Lonchura striata: one gene and its partner. The protein of the gene in region 1 binds, or shares a complex with, the protein of each later gene. Links are inferred from orthologs where the notes say so. Each region holds a gene or a part of one and is shown on either strand. Other genes may lie near its edges.

Region 1 (10,662 bases):
AGATTCAACCAGAACTCTAAGAAAATCTGTTTGTAGGCAGACCTTGATATCAATATATAGTGCTGCTTGTTGGTGTGGAACGTGGACTGGAATTTACTATACATCTCCCAAAATTCTTTGAAACTTACACGATGTTACACAATCTACTATTGCTTTACAAGCTACATTGTCAAATATAGTTTAAAAATATAGACACAGTAAAAAGGCATTTTTTTCTCAGTAGTTGTTTCTTCTTGAACTCTTTCCCAAGATCCAACAAAGCTTTCACATTGCCCTGAATCCCTAGGTTCAGAATTTGAATTTTTGTTTAACCTAATTCTAGGCTACACAGTTGCCTATGTTATGTGTAGTAAATATAATTCGCGCCATTCCTTGTATGAAATATATAATATTGGATACTTGTTAGATTATGCCTGTTTGTATTAGTTCCCCCCCTTTGCAGGCGAGACTGGGTGTATATTGGAAACTGATTTACAAGTAAAAGGATGTGGCTCAGCCAGGAGATGGGCCATGTCTGGACTCCAGGTGCTGATCATCGGATGCTGATCATCACATAAATGGTCCAAGATGGATATCATGGAAGTCCTCAGACAGATACAAAGAAAATCTTATTAACCTATGGACTCTGAATAGAAGAAAAGACTGATCGCTGAAATCTTGGCCTCAGGCAGAATTTTCCCTATAAAACCCGCTTGTGCCAGGATGGAGGTGTGTGGGCATAGAGGAAAACCTCTGCTGAGGCTGACTCCTTGTTGCACACCCAGGGCCAACCCTGAGCTTGGCTCTGTTCTTTCCTTGTGGCTGGCTAGATAGAATTTGATTGCAAAATAAATATTTTATTTTTTCATATTATTTTGGCTGGACAAATTTTCATTTATAACACCTAAAAGAGTTTACTAACACAAGCAAAAATTATACGGAAGGAGCAGAAGTGTCAGGGTGAGAAATAGTTTTATTTATATTTTACAAATGCTTTATAAAGTTGCAGGAAAGAGGCTGAAGTATCAGTTCTTTTGTAATTATTTCACAGAACCAGGTTGGGAAGGATACCTGAGATCATTGAGTGCAACCTGTGAGAACACCACCTGGTCAACTAGACCAGGCACTGGGCGCCATGCCCAGTCTTCCCTTACACTGCTTCATGGACCGTGACTCCACCACCTCTGGGCAGCCCATTTCTATGTTTAACAACTCTTCTTGTGAAGAAATCCTTCCTAGTGTCCAACCTGGATCTCCCCTGGTGCACCTAAAGGCTGTTCTCTCATCCTTTGGCTTCTCGCCTGGGAGAAACGGAGCGCTCCCGGCTCCAGGCTCCCTTCAGGGCTGTTCAGGGCCAGGGGCTCCCCTGAGCCTCCCTCGCTCCAGGCTGAACACCCCCAGCTCCCTCAGCCGCTCCCCATGTGGGTCTGTGCCCTGACCCTTCCCCAGCTCCCTGGCCTTGCCTGGACACACTCCAGTGCGGTGGTGTGTTTTTCTTTCATTTGATATTTGTTTAATATCTGTTTCCCCCCCCAACCCCCCTTTCCCTGCCCCTTTCCCTAGAACCTTCCCTGTCATTCATTCTAGCCCCCTCCTCAGCTTCCAGATGTTAGTTCTGCCCTAAACTCCTCCCCTGCTATTCCCTCATTGGTTACTGTTCCTACACCCGTCCTCCTGAGTTCTGTATAAAACCTTTGCCCCCCCGCCCGCCGGGGTCTTGGGGCTCATGGAATAAAACCATCTCGTTCCCCCCCCAAGTCCCGTGTCGCCTTCGTCTGTCCCTGCGCGCCACGAACTGAAACTGCAGAGCTTGCGGGGGAAAGCGGCCGCCCGTTCTCTTCCCTCACCGCCCAGCACGGCTCGGAGTGCCGCGGCGAGGAGCGCATGCCGCGCCTCAACATATGGTAGCGAGAGGATGGTTCCCTCCTTCGTCTTGTAGAAAAAACGGGCAAATTCGTGGGGGCGCCCGCCTCACAGAAGAGGAAGGAGGGAAGAGGAACATCTACGGCCGTAAAAGCTCTGCCTGATGCTAAGAGGAGCTGAGCGCCGAGCGAAAAACTGACGCTCCGGGACCTCTTTGTTCTCGCCATCTTCCCGCCCGGGAGCAGCCGCGCTGCACGGGCAGCCGGGCTGCAGAGCTTTTTGGCGGGCAGACTTACCCGAGAACACAGAGGGCGGTTTTGGCAGCGGCTCGGGGGAGCCTGAAGAAAGGCTGATCGAGAAGAGGTTCATTCCTCGGTCAGCATCTGCAGCGAGACCACCGGAGGCTGATAGTGGCCGAAACCAAGGCTTCGGGGACGAGTCTTGGTTTAACGGGAACACCCAGGCTTCCGGAAGGGCCAAAACCGGGAAGGAACATCCCCAGTTTTTAGCGCGACTTTTCCATCGAGTCGAGGAGAAGATTCAAGCCATCTCCGTCCGAGCCTGCAAGGTAAGGTGGGCTACACGGGGTGGGGGTCGCCCCGACGGACGGCTGGGTCTGCCACTTTTTTTTCTCGCGTTTTAACCCCCGTCTGCGCCCAGACTGGGGCTGTAGCCGTGCATGTCCCTGGCAAGCGGGTGGGTTTTCTTTTTCTGGGAGAAGCTAGCACTGAGTGCTATCCTTCGCCTAGTCTTCTGTGGGGACCTAAATTAGATCGCTTTTTCTTCTCCTCGAAAAAGTTGTCTTCTCTATCCTCCCCTCCCCATTCTGGGCTGGACGGAGGGGGTAGAAAAGACACCAGTAGGGATCAGCTAAGAAGACGACACGTTAGCTATAGGAGAGTTGTTAAAAGGGGCCCTTTACACCCACGCATTGCGCCGACATCCAGCTGCGTCAGGCGGCCCCCCCCCCTCCTATAAATTTCCCCTTTTTGCTTCTGTGAAGCTCCCTATGCCCCCATCCCCTCGGACTTTCCTAAAACCCTTTCCTATCCTCCCTTGGGGATTGCTGTGGCCGAGCCGCCCCAAGTGCCCCGCCGGACACTGCTCAGGCCAAGTGCAGTGTATCTGGCACCCCCTCTCAAGATGGCGCTGGCCACGCCGCTTGGGACCCGCTTTCCCGCCTTGACCCTTCTTTTCCGCCCCTGGTTTCCCGCCAGTCCCATCTCTCCCCCAATAGCCCTGCACCGTCCCTGCACGAGGCTAGTCCCTATTGTGGGGAGGCGGGGTTAGATATTCCCCCATCCTTCTTCAGGCTCGTCCTCCGGGGAGAGGGTCGGGAGGGATCTTCTCCCGAGGAAATGGAGCCGAAACCCGGGACTGAGGATCCGTCATTTTGTCTTCCCCCTGAAATGGCGGCGCCCCGGTCCACCCCTTACCGATACCCCCTGTTAATCATGGCAATCACTAATTAAGTGATTGTCTGATTCCCCTATCCTATTCCTTAATGTACCCTACCCAATACTCCTTTTTATTTAACTACGAATTCCTCTTTTTGCTTTTGATTATTTTTGAATAATCTGTTTGTTGAGTTATATTTTATAGAAAAAAAAAAAAAAATCATCCCAGTTAATTATTACTCAAGATATTATGCCCACCTCTCAAACGGACATTCAAATTGAACAAACCACATCGCTATCCGCTGACTCTGCTTTAAAACAAGCGCCGTTATCCGCTGACTCTGCTTTAAGAATTTAAGAAGCTGAACATCGCAAACGCCGCGACGCAGCAAATTCTAAATCAGATGAAGTCACAAATCCTGCTGTGCTTTGTACCCTTAATTTGGACTCATTTAAGACAATTTTATATACTCCAGATGAAGTTTTTATATGTTTCATATGTTATAATCACAATTAGTTTATCATTTTTTAATGTCTTTCAATTTATGTTTTTTTAATAATATGTAATGTTACAATTTGATTTTATATTAAGTTGTTTTGTTATAATTATAATTAATTCAGTCTTTTCTGATATTTTTTAACTTAAAGGCTGTGTTTAACCATTATTGCTACAGGAATCACTCAGCTACTATATCGCTTCAGGCTTGCTGCATTGCTGCGAAATTTAAAAATTTATTAGTTATATTTAGTTGATCTTTTATTATATTTAATTCCAATAATTCCATTTAATTATTTTATTCAAATTAGATAGTTATAATTTTAATCATTCTAATTAAATTTTTTAATTTAATTTCTGTCAATTATTTCATTCTATTTCAATTATTTACATTATTTACATTATTTTAAATTGTTACTCAGAACAGCAAAACAGCAAGTTTTGTGCAGTCTTGTGTCTAATTTAAGCTGTTACTACTCTTCCTGCCCTATAAATGCAATAATGTGTCTTTCATGTCCTTTAAGTAATTTACAATGTTATCATATGATTTTATATTATTTGCATGTTTTATTAATTTGCTTAAACCACAAAATTCTCCTTCTTTTTGTAAAGTAAAAGAGGGAGATGCGGTGGTGTGTTTTTCTTTCATTTGATATTTGTTTAATATCTGTTTCCCCCCCCAACCCCCCTTTCCCTGCCCCTTTCCCTAGAACCTTCCCTGTCATTCATTCTAGCCCCCTCCTCAGCTTCCAGATGTTAGTTCTGCCCTAAACTCCTCCCCTGCTATTCCCTCATTGGTTACTGTTCCTACACCCGTCCTCCTGAGTTCTGTATAAAACCTTTGCCCCCCCGCCCGCCGGGGTCTTGGGGCTCATGGAATAAAACCATCTCGTTCCCCCCCAAGTCCCGTGTCGCCTTCGTCTGTCCCTGCGCGCCACGAACTGAAACTGCAGAGCTTGCGGGGGAAAGCGGCCGCCCGTTCTCTTCCCTCACCGCCCAGCACGGCTCGGAGTGCCGCGGCGAGGAGCGCATGCCGCGCCTCAACACTCCAGCCCTCGGTGTCCTTCCTGCCGGGAGGGACCCAGAACTTACAAATCAGCTAATTTTATCTGCTTGAGAGAGCTGAACGCTAGGAACTCTAACTGGTAGGACTGAAGTATTTAGAAGTCCTCCGTGGCACCATTAAGAACCACTTGCGAGAAATCCACGTTTTCCCTTTTCCCCGTTTTTTGCCCCTCTTCGGTCAGGGCTCCATCCACACCCCGAGGTCCCGCCCGCCGCGGGCCGGCGCCGCGCGAGTGAAAGGCGGAGCGGTTTGGCCGCCGCCGGTTGCCGTCGCCGCGGCGGCGCGGGCAGGGCGGGGCGGTCCGGCATGGCCGCCGCCGGCAGGGACCGCGGCGGGAGCCCCCGGGAGCGCGGCATGGCCGGCGAGCAGGCGGAGGACGGGGAGGAGAACATCCTGTACGACCTGCTGGTGAACGCCGAGTGGCCTCCGGAGACGGAGGTGCAGGTGCGTGTGGCCGCGGCACGGCCGCGGGCGGGGGAGGGGACCGGCCACGTTGGCGCGGGCGAGGACGCGGCGGCGCCCGGGGGCCGCGGGGCCGCGCCGGTGCCTCGGGAGGCTCGGCGGGATGGCCGCGCTGGGCCTGGCGGGCACGCGGCGTGTCCGTGCGGCCACTGTCCCCGTGTGCCTTCGTGTCGCTTAATTCCCACCGTGGCTTGTGCTGCCTGGGGTGCCTTGAAGTGTTGCTTGCTTATTGAACAATGTGTGTCGGGCTTTGCTGTTGAGCTGACACAAGCGAAACTCTGGTGAATGAAGTCCAGGTGTCGTCTCTAGAATCAGCCGTACAGAGAGCTGTGGAGTCTGTGCTGGTGAAAATAGGACCTTCGTTGGGTTTACCTTGTATGAGGAAAATTAGATCCTCTCTCTGGACTCCTGTATCAGTACAGTTGTGTCTGTATTTGCAGGGATAAAAGAGAAAAATATTTGATTTTCTGTCCACAATGCACACAAATATCTATTTCTGATTTCTTAAGTGCTAGTTTACACTGTTCTTGTACTGCAGGTTTTTAGTTATTTCTAGCTGTTCTTCTACCCGGATCACCAGAAAGGCTGAGAAGCTGTTTCATCTTACCTTTTTCATGTTTTCCTCTGCAATGTGCTGAGCTTGCTGCCTTTTGTCTGCACTTGGATTGACTTGGATATAGATGATGCGAGCAGTGTGGTTTTATTCCTTTCTTGTAGTGGCTTTTAAGTCTACTGAAGTTTTTAATGCATTTCCCACTGAAGGTTTGTAATAGAAGCATTTTAGCAAAGTTTTATGCTTAATGAGAACAGCTGAACAGAAAAGATGTAAAAACATCACAAGGGGAAGACTTATCTGTTAAAAATTACTAGAGCCATGCTCAAAACTGAATCATCAATACCACAGATTCCAACAAAAAAAAAAAAAAGTTTTCATTTGTCAGAAAGATTTTTTTGGTGTTGTTGCTCTTGATCTGTAAATCCTCAGTTGCAGCAACACTTATGGGTGTTTGGAAAACACGATTGCAGTATTACTATTTATTAGCTTAATAGGGTATTTGTATAGATGAATTGATAGTTGCACTTATTTTAATTCAACTGTGTTTTGAGAAATGGTAAATAGTCTTTGTTTTTAGTAGCATATGGAAACAATTCTCCTGTTGCAAACCATGAGGAGAACTTAGGTATGACACAAAACTGTGGTTCTTTTACAGCCGTGTTAAGGGGGCACATTTCTGACAAATGCGTTTTCTGCTGCCATAGTGTTCTTGAGGTTGTGTGGTAAGTTGATTAAAGAACTGATAACTCTGAGAAACAACAATGTTGTTTCATCTCCTCTTGTTAGTAGTCTCTCTAGTACCCCTGTAGTGTACTGGAGGGGGCTGTGAATAATAGGTTAGTGAGATGACACCTCTCCATGGTGGGGATGCCAATTTAAAGTGACTGTGTAACCACAGTCTGAGGGTCCTTATCTGCCCTGGTAGTCAGAATTTCTAAGCATCATTGAATTCTGCTTGTTAGCTTAAGCAGATGGTGGTGGTTGTTTTAAACTTGATATTTCTTGCCTATTTATTTTTAAGATAATACCTGTTTTCAATAGCAGAAGTTGGTTTGAAAATCCTATGCTGTATAATTTGCTTGGATTTACATTCTTTTTGGAATCTGTCAGTACTCAAGGACACTTCTGATAGTCTTTTTGCCATTTTAGTGGGAAATTGATTTTACACTGACAACATAGGCAAACAGATTATTTTGTCAGTATGAGTCACTTTTTGTCTTAAGATGCCTTAACAGTGATACTACTTAGGTGATTGTCCTAAATGACACCTAAGTGTCCTTAGGTGACATTCCCTTTGGAGCATCTGTCTCTTTTAGTCCTATTTTTTTCACACTCTTCAGAAAAAAATTATACCCTACTTTCTTGTAGAACTGAATCTTTTGGAATAAGTGAGGTAAAGAATGGTAGAAATGGAAAGGAAGTTGAATGCTGCACTGGGAAATGAAATTAGTTGTCTTCCTATGCAGTAATTTAGGCTACAAAGCCAGACCTTAAACTTTTACAGGTCTTTATTGACTTTATTTTTTCTGTTCTCTCATTTGGGATGATTAATTTTTAATTGCAGAGCACTAGGTCTTAAAGCTCTAATTATTGGAAGATGAGCCTTGGTGATGAAGATGTAAAATCATGTTAAATTCAAGACATTGATGAAACTGGCATGGATCTCTTGGGCTGAATGCCTAAAATTTTTAATATTACTTCTTGTTGGTATTATCATTCACCTGTACTGAGCTTTCCGGTAAGAATTTTTTGGTGGAAGGAGGGCCAGGGAGAGTTATAGTAGTTATTTGTGGAGGAAACACTCAAGGAATTGACTACACCAAAGAAGAGAGTGGTGTGGAAATCAAACAGTCTGTGTTCAGGATAGTGATGCCATTGTATAAAATGCACTGTTTGAGAACAATGAAATATATAATGAGAATAAAAGGAATTACTTAGTAGTAGATCCATGTATAGTGAAAATAGTGAATGAGGCAGTGGGTGTGGACAAGGCTGCAAGAGAGGACTTGTGAGGTGATTTATGGAGATATAGGCAGATGGAAATCTCTTCAAATTATTTTCCAAAATGTATCACCTGGTCTTGTGGGTTTTGTTTTTTCATTACAGTCTAACGTTTTGAGATTTCCCCAACACCCACCAGCTTCTGTCCCCCCAGTAAGTTTGCAGGCTGTGCAAAGAAATCCAAAACTAAGTGGGTGACTTGTCAGCAAGAAAGTTACTTAGATTTTATTTCTGGAAGGCTGTCAGGAAGGAAAAATAGAAGTTGTTTTCCCAAGAAGGAATGAATTAAAAAGAAATACAGCACATCTGGTAACCATTGCTATTCCTGAAATGATAAGAATATGTTATAAAAAGTAAAACTCAAGTCTTTGGGATTTAACAGTAAATCAGTTTTGTGAAGTATCGAAGATGTATGGAATAGCAGCCTGTAGTTTAGGCTCAGGACCAGACACTTAAAATATTAATAAAAAATTCTAAAGAGATGTAAGCAGTTTTAGGAAATGATTTTTTTTACTGGGAACTTCCTCATAATCCAAAAACTTAACAAGCTCTCCTTTTAAGGTCCCTAGGAAATTGCAGCTCTCCCTGAGGTTCTGGGGTAGCTGTAAGAAATAATTTATGCTTTCACTTATTTTACTGTAATGCATTGTTATTTCCTAGCTGATCAGCCTGAATGTGGAATGTTATCTATTAGTACAGCTGTGTTTGCTTCTTACACGCTGTGAGATGACAGCCTGGTTATTTGAAAGACTGTTTATGGATTGCAAACTTTGCCTGGAAAACTAATCTTTACTTTAACAATTTAAATTTGGGAGGCCAAATACTATTTTTTAAGCATAGCCATATTGCAAAATGTTGATAAATTTGTATGTCTTTCAGTGTTTACTGCTTTGTAACTTGGTGAGGCCTGAATATTTCAGTTAATGGGAAATTTGCTCTATATATTTTTTGTATTGAATGGAAGAGAAAATTCAGTTATTGCCTACTCTGATGCTCAGTTTGTGGTGCTCTAATATTCTCATTAGAAAGGTATAAACATGATTGCTTATTTTGAGGATTTTTTGTGGATCCTTCCTTATTGGTTATCGTTTTTCACTCCTCCGTTTTGTATCTTCTTTCTGCTTCTTACTGACAAAATATTGTCTTACTGACAAATAATTTTAACTCCTCTTATAGATAAGCATATATATCCTGTGTTGTTTTTGTATTCCTTTTTTCTGTGTTTGGAGAGTGCTTTCATTTATATAGTGACTGCCGTTGCTCCCTGTGCCTAAATTAGGGCAGGTGGAAAGGCTGTGTGAGATGGTATTATCTAGAGGTGGTTTTCCAAGTGGCCGTATTACATAGTACAAATTGATGTAAAAAGAGGTGTTTTTTTTTCAGAAATTGTTTTTCTTAATGTTTCTGAAACTTTCATGAGCAATCTTTAGGTAGCTTAGCACTTAGATATTAACGTAATATGTTGCACACTGAGTACTTTGACTGCTAGGCATTACAGATCATTGTGGCATTTATTTGGCATAAAAAGAATGATCTATAATGGCTTACAGGAGAACACAATCAGAAGTCAGTGTCTTTTGTTACTACCCAAAGATTGAGGCAAAGCTGAATCAATAGACAATCTGTAGCACATTTTGTTTATTGCATCCTGACATTTAAATTATTTGGTGTTACAGCCTGTTTTAGCTTATGCAGTTAAAGGAGACGTTATATGAAGTAGTGAGTAATAGGAAATACACAATGAACTTGTAGGCTAGGAGCCAACTTAAACTTAGTCAGTGAATGTATGTATGAGTGTTGTATTTAAGTAAAAATGTGTGACATGGTGTCTGATGATTATTATTGTAATTGCAGCCAAGAGGCAGCAGAACGCATGGTGCATCATTTATCATCACTAGAGCAATTGCAGGTAAATATTACTTGTTCTTACATTCATGAGGTCTAAGACTCTGTGGATTACTTGTAAATTTTACAATTTCTGCCCTTTAGAGTGCCTAATGATGGAAATAGCAATCGGAATAGAGTACAGGATGTATTTTCAGGAAGATGTTTTCTGGTTGTGAACGTGGCTGTGTTATTTTTATGTCAATTTTGTAAGCATTCTTGTCTCCATTAGTTTGTTGGGACAAACTAATAAACTATACATCTTAGGAGTTAACAAGGTCTGTGTTTTGCAAACTGTATTGGAGCCTTTTTTCCCCCCCCCTCTCTTAAAGTCTCTTGTACTGGGCTGTCTGCTAGTTAGTTCTATGAGGAAGTTTTAAATTCTGATGATATTACATTTCATAAACCAATTGTTAAATGTCAGTGACTGAACTGTATTTTCATCCAGTAGAAATTTATCTTAAAATGAAACAAAATAGTGCAGTGGTTTGGTTTTTTGTTTGTTTGTTTTTTATTTGCCATTTGCATTTATTCTAACATAAGAATTTGTTGGCCAAATTTAAAGGATTTTTCTCTCAATACCTTTTTCTTTAATGAGAATTTGAGATTCCCTGTGCAGTAATCTGGAGGGTGTTTTAAGACTACTAGAGATGTAATTTTTACCTCTTTCCATTTTAGGTCCTGCATTGTTTTTGCTTCAGTACATCTGGTACAGGTAAGTTTTACAAAAATATTGCTTAATTTTCCTATTTGGTAATATTTTTATAGCTTTTTGATTTGATGGAAAGTAATTCCTCATTGGAGTAAAACTGAACACTTGTTTAGAATATTGTCCTAGAAATGCATAGAATAGCCACTTTTCTCAAATTGAGTTGCAGCTGAAGTCTAAATAGAAGAAAACTGGTAAGTACTAGTTTGACTTTGTGCTTTCATCAGAAGCTGAAGTAACATGGCAGTT
Region 2 (10,569 bases), on another chromosome or scaffold:
ATTTTAAAAAGCTCTGCAGTAGCATCTGTCGAGACTGCAAATGTATTTAGATTTACACATGATGGTGATCGTAAGCAGACTTGTGCAACCGGACTGCTACAAGACATCTCTCAAACTCTGCTCCAGATGTTGCAGTGGCATTAATGCAATGAAACCCATTCCAATGGTAATACTCAGATAAAAATCCTCAGTCTTTGAAGTCAATTCAAAGAAAAAGTGAGTCAGTTTCCAACTGATAAAATCAGCACCTCTTGTTTTATGCAAATCAAAAAATTCAACCCATTAAAAAAAAAGAACTATTTAACCATATTTTGGACTAATTACATTTCATATCCAACATTTTCAGTTACATGATGGTTGCAAAACACAGTGCCAAAAATCAAAGTCACAGCCTTTGAGCTCAAGAAATACAGAACAGTGCAAAACCATTTGCAACAAGACAGAAGAAATTAATCAAAACCTGTGAACAGATGGGAGTCAGTCTAAGATTGTAATGATGCTTTATGAAGGATCTGGGCAAGGGAAAAATATTGCCTCACCCAGATAAAATGCCTGTGTCTCTGAAAGGTCTCCAAGTGCTATCTCAATGTCTGTCCACACTTAGGTAGGCACAAGAACTGCACAGTTTTGACGAATCCTAATTTTGGAAAATGTGAAATCTGTACAATTTAAACACAGCAATCTAGAGGTTGTTTACAAAGCAATTTAAAAATGTCAAACCGCTTTCTCCCATACCTTGTTAAGAACATTGGTTTGTTTATTTCCAGTGAAATGATATTTGAATCTTTTCTGAAGAGGATTCAGCATGATCTGTATGGGAAGGACGATTGGTGGTGAAGGGGGTAAAGGGTACTTTTCTGGCAATTGTTTAGGTTTGGTTAACAGCTCATCTCTAAGTTTGACAGTCAAGGATGCACATTAGTGTTGAATTACCCCAGCATCATAATTTCAATAGAATGGGCTTATAAAAATGAACACTGCTTAGTACTATACCATTAACCAAAGGCAGTATTATGAAAACAATACAATTCCTTGTAAAAGATACTCAAAATATTCCACTTTATGTAATATTAAATATAACTCAGGTCTTTAGGGATTATTTATTCAATGACAATACATGTCCCTTGAGTCTGTTTGATTTAGGAAACTTGTAAGAACCCAGCAAAGCACCACTGTCAGAAACACAGTGGCTGTCCAAGAGACACAGTTATTCATATTTGTTAAAGGAGGATAAAGACTCTTGGGATTAATAAATGCAACACATGATTTCCCATTTTCATGTAATAGATCTAAGTGAGCCACTCTGCCAAACCAAAATTGTAACCAACTCAGGATTGTGTACAATGGCCTTGCATCTTTCTGCTGTGTGATTAAAAAAAAAAAAGAAAAACATCAGCCACAGTCACACACACACAAAGGCTTAGTTAAACTTGAGTTTTAACTGATTTTTTGTGAATTATTTAATTCATAAAAATCAGGGACAGAATAAGCTGCAGTGCCCTCTGAGCAACCTCAAAGGCAGACTTATGATTGCTGCACAACAGAAATCCTCCTGCAGTCTCCCCTTTTTGTAAACTCTCCTTCCAAGACAGGTATGTTTAGTTTTCCCTTTTTTTCCTTCTGGGACAGGACATATTAAAGTAGTTAAATCTTATTTCACAAAAGGCTTTAAAAGGAAAAGCATTAACTGTGTCTCATAAAACACACATCACCATTTTTTCATTAACATGCATGGGTAATGGTTCCAAACAGTGTAAGGCCACATTCTCATGCAACCTGAACTGTCAGCTACCATGAGAGCACTGGATCTGATGACTTGGAGTTAAAATGTTGGTACTGACAAAAAGGACAACTTTGGCACTTGGCATTTTATAAATGCCAAAACAAACAAACAAACAAATAAAAAACCCACCCAAAAAAAAAAAAAAAAACCAAATCCCCACAACATTCTACTGTTAATACAAAGTAATATAAATTATATTCTGTCTTTAGGGAGAATAAAATTTTAAATAATTCTCCTTGAGAATGTACATCTCTAACAGTTTTTATTTTTGCTAAAATTCACTGCAAGGATTTAAAAGGATACGAGGTTTGCAGTTTCAGAAGCTGACAGAACAGCATCTCCAAGCTGTTGTACACCTCAGGAGCATTGGCTGGTGCAGCAAGGCCAAATGCCTGGGACTGAGGTGGCCCCACAAAGGGCCAGCGGAGCTGTGCCAGCACCTCCTCAAAGTCACTGCAACACAAAATAATCACCAGGACATCAACTGACAGTACAACATAAAGATGAGAGAGTCACAGTATCTCTCTTACCTTGTCAATTTGTCCTTAAGGATTTTATGCCAAAATTTAACAGTGGATCTCACAAAAGCAAGAAGATGAGAACAAGATGACTCCTGAAGTTTAATATCCAATTCTGCCATGAATGCTAGAGTACTGGCTGCCTCTGGAACATTGTTGGTCAGCAGATATTGCTGAATGCTATCACTATAAAACACAAAAAAAGACAAGGCCAAATATTCATTAATGACAACAGAAAAGAATAACTTGTATATTGAAAAGTAAAGACAAAACTTTTTTGAATTTAAAATATTTTAATAATAAACCAGGTCACCAGTCTCAGAACATACCCACTACTCAGAAACTACCTGAGCTCTTCTATGCGAGAAATCCACTCGAGGTAGGCCAGGTGTCGCTCGATCTCTTCTACCTGACCTATCAGCACATCGAGATCCTCCATCCATGGCTGAGCTTTCAGCAAGTGGCTACTGATGGACTCAGACAGAACAGTTTCCTCCTCCAGAAGCTGACTCAGAGACTTTTTGGAATCTTCTGCATTCTTTAAGGCTTTCTGAATTCTTTTAGGGACTTCTGACGAAACTGTAAGTACCTGCATTGACAGAGATGCATCAATGCAGACACAAATCCACTGCACTGTGTAGAGCAGTACTATTTGAGATACTGGTACATTTCATTTAGTTTCATATTCTCAATCAGTCATACAGCATGTTCAGAAGAAAAAAAGAAAAGAAACAGAAAGATGCTTACCTGTTCTTCTAAGTGCTTTTTGTTTTCAGATAGCTTTTCAATCAGGCTGTCTAGTTTCCCCAGGGAATCATAGTCACTTCCAAGTTCTCTTTCCACAAATTCAGAAACATAGTATGGGATATCACAGTGGTCTAGATCTCTAGTGACTTCTTTCTTTCTAACAGCAATGCTTGCCATGTTTTCTTTCTCTGCAATACTGAGTATACAATTTCTAGTTAGCTGACACTAAGACAGCACAAACAAATATTATCTACTGAGGAACAAAACTCCATGAAAAGCTGGGCAGTTCAATTTAAACTGAGACTGAAATACCATATTCATTAATTATACTGCTTTAAGTGAGACAATTTACTGGCTTAAGTCTGAGGTCTGATAAAACCTTGCTGACATAACCAACTGGTGATTTATTATATATTAACTACTAAAGATAAATACATCTGATAATTTCTTCCTTCACCAAAAGCACAAATTCTATTAAAAATAGTTCAAGAAATATGTAGTTCCTACATATATAATATAGAAAACTTAATAAAAACTACAAAAAAATTTGTAAAATAAAAAGGAAGCTAAGGTTCCACTTTCCCTTTTCACAAGTTTAGGAAATTTTAGAGATTCCAACACATGTCTACTGCATTACTAGCAAAGTATCCATGTGGGCCTTATAATAATTTGGAAAGTAAATACATCAGTGAAGTTTTAGCCCAAAAAACCCACACAGTATAACTTAAAAGGTATTTGCTGATCCACACATTTGGCAGCATTCAGAGAAACCCAACATTGAGAGGATGTCCACAGTGAAACAGAAAAGGCAACAGTGACAACTGTTTGGCCAGATCAATCCTCAATTTATCCGCGTCACTTTCAAAAGAGTATTTAAAAATAAAAACCGATACACTTGCACTTCATCTGCTACAAGCTTTAATTAAAACCCCTACTAAACTGACAACAGGAGCGAGGAAGCGGCGCAGCTGATGAGCCAGAGTTGCAGAGACAATAGAGAGCACCAGGAAGAACAAACTGGGCGACCAAGGGTGCTGCAGAAGAATAATCGAATAAAGAAAACAGAGCAGTAATACTCCTGTTTGCAGCAATGTAAATACTAAACGGCAGGAAAAAAAACAACCAAATGGTGCTCCTTTCATACTTAGTGGGAAGGCTCTGGTTACACAAGGCAGGAACAGGACTCCGGCGCATCCCTCCCAGCAGCTGCCCGCTCAGCCCCGCGGCCCAGCACCCACCTCGGCCAGCGGCCGGGCCCTGCCAAGGGCCGGCTGCAGGCTCCGCGGGCTCCGGCAGGCTGCGAGCGGAGCGCCGCCGCCCGCGGCCCGGGCCGGGCGGCCGGGCAGCCCCTCAGCCCAGCGCCGCTCGGCGAGCCCTTCCTCCGCCGCCACGGCCGCCGCTTCCCTGCCGGGCCGGGAGCGCCGCGGGGCCGCCGCCCGGAGCCGTCACCGCCGCCCGGAGCCCTCAGCCGCCGCCCGGAGCCCTCAGCCGCCGCCCGGAGCCGTCACCGCCGCCCGGAGCCCTCAGCCGGCGCCCGGAGCCCTCAGCCGCCGCCCGGAGCCCTCAGCCGCCGCCCGGAACCCTCAGCCGGCGCCCGGAGCCCTCAGCCGCCGCCCGGAGCCCTCAGCCGGCGCCCGGAGCCCTCAGCCGGCGCCCGGAGCCCTCAGCCGCCGCCCGGAGCCCTCAGCCGCCCGCGGCCGCGGCACCGCCCCCGCCGCGTCAGCGGCGCCGCGGCCGGCGGAGCGCGGGGCGCAGGCGCGGCGCCGCTCCCGGGAGCCCCGCGGCGCTCCCGGCCCGCGCTCCCGGGACACGGCCCGGCCCGAGGCTGTCCCGCCGGCCCGAGGCTGTCCCGCCGGCCCGGGGCTGTCCCGCCGGCCCGGGGCTGTCCCGCCGGCCCGAGGCTGTCCCGCCGGCCCGGGGCTGTCCCGCCGGCCTGAGGCTGTCCCGCCGGCCCGGGGCTGTCCCGCCGGCCCGGGGCTGTTCTGCCCCGCGCTCCCGGGACACGGCCCGGCCCGAGGCTGTTCCGCCGGCCCGGGGCTGTCCCGCCCGCCCGAGGCTGTCCCACCGGCCCGGGGCTGTTCTGCCCCGCGCTCCCGGGACACGGCCCGGCCCGGGGCTGACCCGCCGGCCCGGGGCCTGTCCCACCGGCCCAAGGCTGTTCCGCCGGCCCGGGGCTGTCCCACCGGCCCAAGGCTGTCCCGCCGGCCCGGGGCTGTCCCGCCGGCCCGGGGCTGTCCCGCCGGCCTGAGGCTGTCCCGCCGGCCCGGGGCTGTCCCGCCGGCCCGGGGCTGTCCCGCCCCGCGCTCCTGGGACACGGCCTCACACCTCTTGGCCTCCCCCGCCGCCTCTGCCACGGCCGGCGACAGGACTAGCAACGCTTGGCTGAAAAGGCCACGTCTCTTTAGAAAGCTCCCACAGGATTTTTTTCCCCCAACAGCAAGGCATTCCCCGCCAACAAGCGACAGGCGCAAAGGAAGCGCTCACTGATACACGCTCAGAGTTTCAGGTTAGTTTATTTGTAGTACCTGTTCTTTGGTACAGGTATTAGCTGGAAAATACAAGTGTTTTCTCAATGAAAAGTCGGACATATTTAAAAGAGCTGTGCAGCTTTACAGCACATAAAAGCCTTGCTAAAAGAATCTGCTACTGCATCAGTGCAAATGCTACTAGCAAAACTCCAGCAATACATATGTTCATCAGTATCTTAATTTTATTGTAATTCATCTCTCCCCGTGTAATTCATTGTATTTGAAAAGACTTCACGGGCAGCTGAACTCCTGAAAACATTCAGTGCTTGCCCAAAGAAAGCAAGCTAAACATTCTTCCAGGTCTGATGCCATTATAAGCACAATTCTAAAGATACACCTCAAGTTACTCATTCAGTAAAAAGCACCAGTCACTAAAATCCTTATTATATTACAGTCACCATCTTTCAAAGGACTACTGAAGTTAAATGCTAGCACTAAAAAAACTTAAAAAAATACAAATTTTTTACTGTGACTCTTTAAAGATTTGTACAGAACATGTAAATAAGAAAAACATTGTTAAAATCAAATAATTGTGCAGTTCACTCAGCGCAACCAGGTAGTATTCAGTTGTGTCTGGTTTTTTATGCTTGTGTCCATTTTCAAAACTTCTCGAATCGCCATGGTCGCGTAAGTGGATGGGGGAAGGGAGAACTCCATCTTTAGTGCCCTGAATTTGCCATCTATCAGCAGGTGTAAGAGACAAAAAACAAGAACAAGTGGTTAAGGGCATATATAATGCTTATTCTGGATGCCATCTAAACTGAACTAACAGTTTCCACAACCAACTTTCCCAGCCCATAAAGCAAAGCAACCACCACCATCGCATTCCTGTTTATAATCCAAGTGAAAATTTTAATGAAACAATTTAACATTTTCTCTCAGGACAAAGTGGTGGTTTCAGAGTTTTCTTCTTCTAAAAGCAAATATTAATTCTTTCAGACTCAATTCCTAGCCTGTCTTCGCTTTTCTGGAAAGCAGTGTCAAAACACCTTATGACCAGAGTTAAGTATTTCAGTCATCTGTGTTCAGCATCAATAATACAAGCTCAGTATATAGACAATTTGTGACTTAATTCCACCTTTGTTAGTTGCAGACATTTACTGCTAGGCATTTACTTGATTTTACAGATGTCTGTAAGAAAATGTAGCAGTCAATACAGATGCTGGAGGAATGGCTTTCACCCTTGAGAAATCGGGGTCCTTATTTAGATGCCTGTCCTGTTGTTACCACCACTTAACAGTCAATATTTAAGTGAAAGCTCTTCCTTAAAGGAGATTTGACTATGCAGCAATTGAAAGCAACAGCCAGATCAAACTTCCCATTTAGCAAACCAGCAGAAAAATCAACTTACCTGTAGGGAGTACTGGTAATGGTTTTCCTTCCAGTTTATCCAAATCCGTAGTAAATAATGGGATTTTAGGATCATCATATGCAACAACTTCCCTTTATAACATACATAAAATTTATTATTATTTAAAATTATTTAGGTTAACACATTTTATATAAATGTGTATTTATTACAATATTATTTTTTTATTATTATTATTGCAGTTTGGCATTTACAACTGAAATTGAATTAGGCAAAATAATGAGTAAAGCTTTATGTAGAAGATTTGCCTTGGCTTTATGAAGATTGTCAAAAAACAATTAGTGAGAAGCTTCTTTGCATAACTCATCTGCCTGCCCTTGTGTGCTGTCAGAATTTTCAACTACACAAGAAGTATAGTTCATGAAATTAAGGGAAGACTGGTGTCAACTCTAAGAGTACCTAGCACAAGTGAAGCCTTTCAATAGTTATCCAAACTTTGAATGGGCTAAGATATTCTACAGTTTCTGCCATTCATTTAACATAAATCCAATATGTAACCATGAGGCTGAAAAACTAACTGGGAAGTAGACAAACTTAATATTAATTAGTGCTGATGTTTCAAGTATAAATATTTGTATTTCTGTGCTCCTAAATCCTCTATATTTAATTCTATGCATCAGTGATAGTGTTTTCCTGCACATTTGTACAGTTTCCTGTTTAAAAGGTATTTACTCAGTTGCCATATGAAAACTAGGCTATATCTCTAACAACAGTGATTTAGTAGGATGAAGTGACACAAATTTTTCTGATTGATAGATAATTTGAGACCAACTTTTTTATAGCAAGACTACAAAAAACCCTATTCTGAATATTAGCTATCATTGTTTCAACCTAAGTATTATCTATGAAGTGTTCAGGCAAGTCCTTGCAAGGAGTGAACAACTAGCTAAGATGTCTTGATACTCCTCCACCACAGAACTAGAGAACCAAGGAAAAGGCTATAGTTCCACTTCAGCTGCATTAAAAACATGAGAGAAGTGCAGAGAGATTCCTTTCTACCTATGTTTCAGTCTGTGTGGATGTTCCATGGATCAGTCTCATGTTGTTTTGTATTTAAATAAACTCTATGCTAGCAAGTGTAATCTCCTTTATGCTCCAACTCACCAATTGACATTCTGAGGCCGAATGATAATTTTTCTGTATGCTCCAGAAAGTGAGTAATCTCTGATTTTATGCCTCATGTTGTTGATATCAAGGTTGTCAGCTACCAGCATCTCCTTGTAGGCCTCACCAACTGTAAGAGAGGAAAATATAGTAGTGTTACCAATTTAAGCAGACTGTTTTCATGGATTGTTCTCTTCCCTTAAATTTAGCATATATGCTAAATATGCATATATGGGATAAATACTGCACAGAGTTTAAATGTTTACTTCTACACCCTGATTAGCATAGGCAGTAGCCAAGAACACATCAAATCAAATTTCAGCCGAAAACAAAATTTACAAAATACTTTATTGACATTTAAATGTCATCTCATACATGCATTCCAATTTTCTAGACTTCACAGGACTAATCTCAGGTATATGGTGAAAAAAAAAGGGCCAGACTACCCATTACTCTCTCATTAAAAAGCAGCAGAGAGAAATCAGTTGACAATTTGACAGTACAAGAACAGTTCAATCCAATATTAAGGAAAATGTGCATGGAACTCATGACTAACCCAATCTATAAGAACACATAGAACAGGTGAAACCTAGGGGCAGCTACAAAGAGGGACTACACCAGCATTGTCCAGGTACACAGAAATGGTGTTAGGAAAGCCAAAGCTCAGCTACAGTTGAAAGCAGCAAATGACATCAAGACCAGCAAGAGTTCAGCTGCAACAGAAGGAATACAAGGAAAGTGATGGCCTGGTGCTAAACAGGGCAGCTGGTCTAGTGACAGACATAAGGCTGATGGTCTCAAGGCCCCTTTTGCCTTGGCCTTGACCACCTTAGAGGCAAGGTTAAGAAAGAGGGACTACCAGTAGTGGGCAAAGATACAGGCTGGCTTATGTCATGGTGAAGTTTTTCTCTTATCACCTCAGAGATTGTGCAGATCTAGGGATGTCCCAGACAAATGTGGAAAACAAGTGCTGCACCCAACTTCAGAAAGAGCAGGAAAGATAATTAGGGAATTAGAGACCAGTCAGGCTCACTTTGATTGCTGGGAAAAATAATGTAATCTTCTCTGGGCATACAATGACTGTGGTTTTAATATGAGGGGAAAAAAAAAAAAAGAGAAAAAGCAAAACACCCACCAACCTTAGTGTCTTCTATGATTGAATTATTACACCTATGGATGAGGGGAGAGCAGGGACTGTTGCCTGCCTTGCCTTTAGCAAGGCTGTCAACGTATTCCCAGAGCATCTTTGTGTCCCAGGTGAGAACATTACAGTCGGTGGACTGGTAAGTGGGTAACAGCTGTCTGGCTCAGCATCTCAAAGTATAGTCACTACTGGCTGTAGCTCTACCTAGAAGCAGAGTTCCTCAAGGAACTGAGATGTGTCCTGTGAAATAGTGGAGAAGAGCTGGAAGAGATGTGTCCTGTGAAATAGTGGAGAAGAGCTGGAATTTACCCCAACCAATCTGTGGGCTAAATCAAGCTGGGGTGGTATTCAATACATGCAAGGAGAGGACTGCCATTCGGAGGGACTGAGGCACACTAGAGGAATGGGCCAAGAGGAACCTCATGAAATTCATCAAGGACAAAATCCTGTACCTGATTAAATCCTTGTAGTGGTACAGGTTAGTGAGAAATTCTGCTCTGCTGTCATCTGGGATTCCCAGTGGGAAGGAGACTGAGCAGAGCACCCTGGCAGCAACAGAAAGCTGACATTAATGTTTTAAAGATCTGAAGTGATGTATTGCTTTAAAAGTCACCAAGGTTGAGTGACTTCTTCCTTTTAAGAACAATCTTAAGGCAAACTTATCTTTTCAGAGTAAGTATTTCAGGTATTTCAGTTAACAGTCAGACTCACTTTTATGCTTTGGATAAATGACATCAAATCCAGGCAATGGCATCACTACATCGTGGATAGTGTAGTTGTCAACATCTCCTTCTTCAATGTGAACAGCTGTGGCTACAGTCAGGACAGAAAAATGAAATTACCAGCATAGATGCCTGTGACAAATAACCAGCTAAATTTAAAATAAAGCCTTTGATTGAAATAAGTTTACTCTGAGAAAGATAACAACCATGTTTTATCTCCACTTAACAGACAACATTTCTAAGAAAAGAAGTAACAGCCTCCAAGGCTGTCACAGTTACAGAAGCCAGGCAGAATTACAGCCTGGCTTCCAGTGGCTTAAAGCTACATGACGTAAGGACTGCTAGAGGAACAGCCCCCTTCCATGCACCAGGCATATATAAGGGACAAATGCTGTAGGCAATGCCAGAACAAATACAAGTAAAGAAAGTTTGAACTGAGTGGAGCTTCTGCTTTACAAGATACTAATTCAATCAAAAACTTATATGATTAAAATTTCATAATGTCCTTCCACAGTCCTTCACAGCTCAACTAGGTTTGAGGTCATTCCTGAGAATAATCAGTCCTCCATAGTCTCTCTTCCTTATCCAGTTATTTGAAAAAACAGGCAAACAAACAGCTCATGGAAGTGTAATACCTAACTTCCAATTCCTTGC

Evidence for each region.
Region 2: NBAS (region 1) and RINT1 share a complex: the UniProt entries of both Homo sapiens proteins name them as parts of the NRZ complex. The link is inferred for Lonchura striata from reciprocal best matches to the Homo sapiens genes NBAS and RINT1.

The regions. Positions count from the first base shown.
Region 1 is NC_134605.1:101,621,559-101,632,220, reverse strand, and holds the start of NBAS (NBAS subunit of NRZ tethering complex), read left to right. Parts: upstream 1-5,071; 5' UTR 5,072-5,107; coding exon 5,108-5,245; intron 5,246-9,674; coding exon 9,675-9,729; intron 9,730-10,382; coding exon 10,383-10,419; intron 10,420-10,662. UniProt on the Homo sapiens protein: Involved in Golgi-to-endoplasmic reticulum (ER) retrograde transport; the function is proposed to depend on its association in the NRZ complex which is believed to play a role in SNARE assembly at the ER. Required for normal embryonic development.
Region 2 is NC_134607.1:59,930,448-59,941,016, forward strand, and holds the start of RINT1 (RAD50-interacting protein 1), read right to left. Parts: upstream 4,376-10,569; 5' UTR 4,287-4,375; intron 3,245-4,286; 5' UTR 3,226-3,244; coding exon 3,049-3,225; intron 2,891-3,048; coding exon 2,649-2,890; intron 2,488-2,648; coding exon 2,314-2,487; intron 2,237-2,313; coding exon 2,087-2,236; intron 893-2,086; coding exon 736-892; intron 1-735. Other genes in the region: PUS7 (pseudouridylate synthase 7 homolog), read right to left, coding at 6,120-6,256, 6,928-7,019, 8,050-8,179, 9,905-10,006. UniProt on the Homo sapiens protein: Involved in regulation of membrane traffic between the Golgi and the endoplasmic reticulum (ER); the function is proposed to depend on its association in the NRZ complex which is believed to play a role in SNARE assembly at the ER.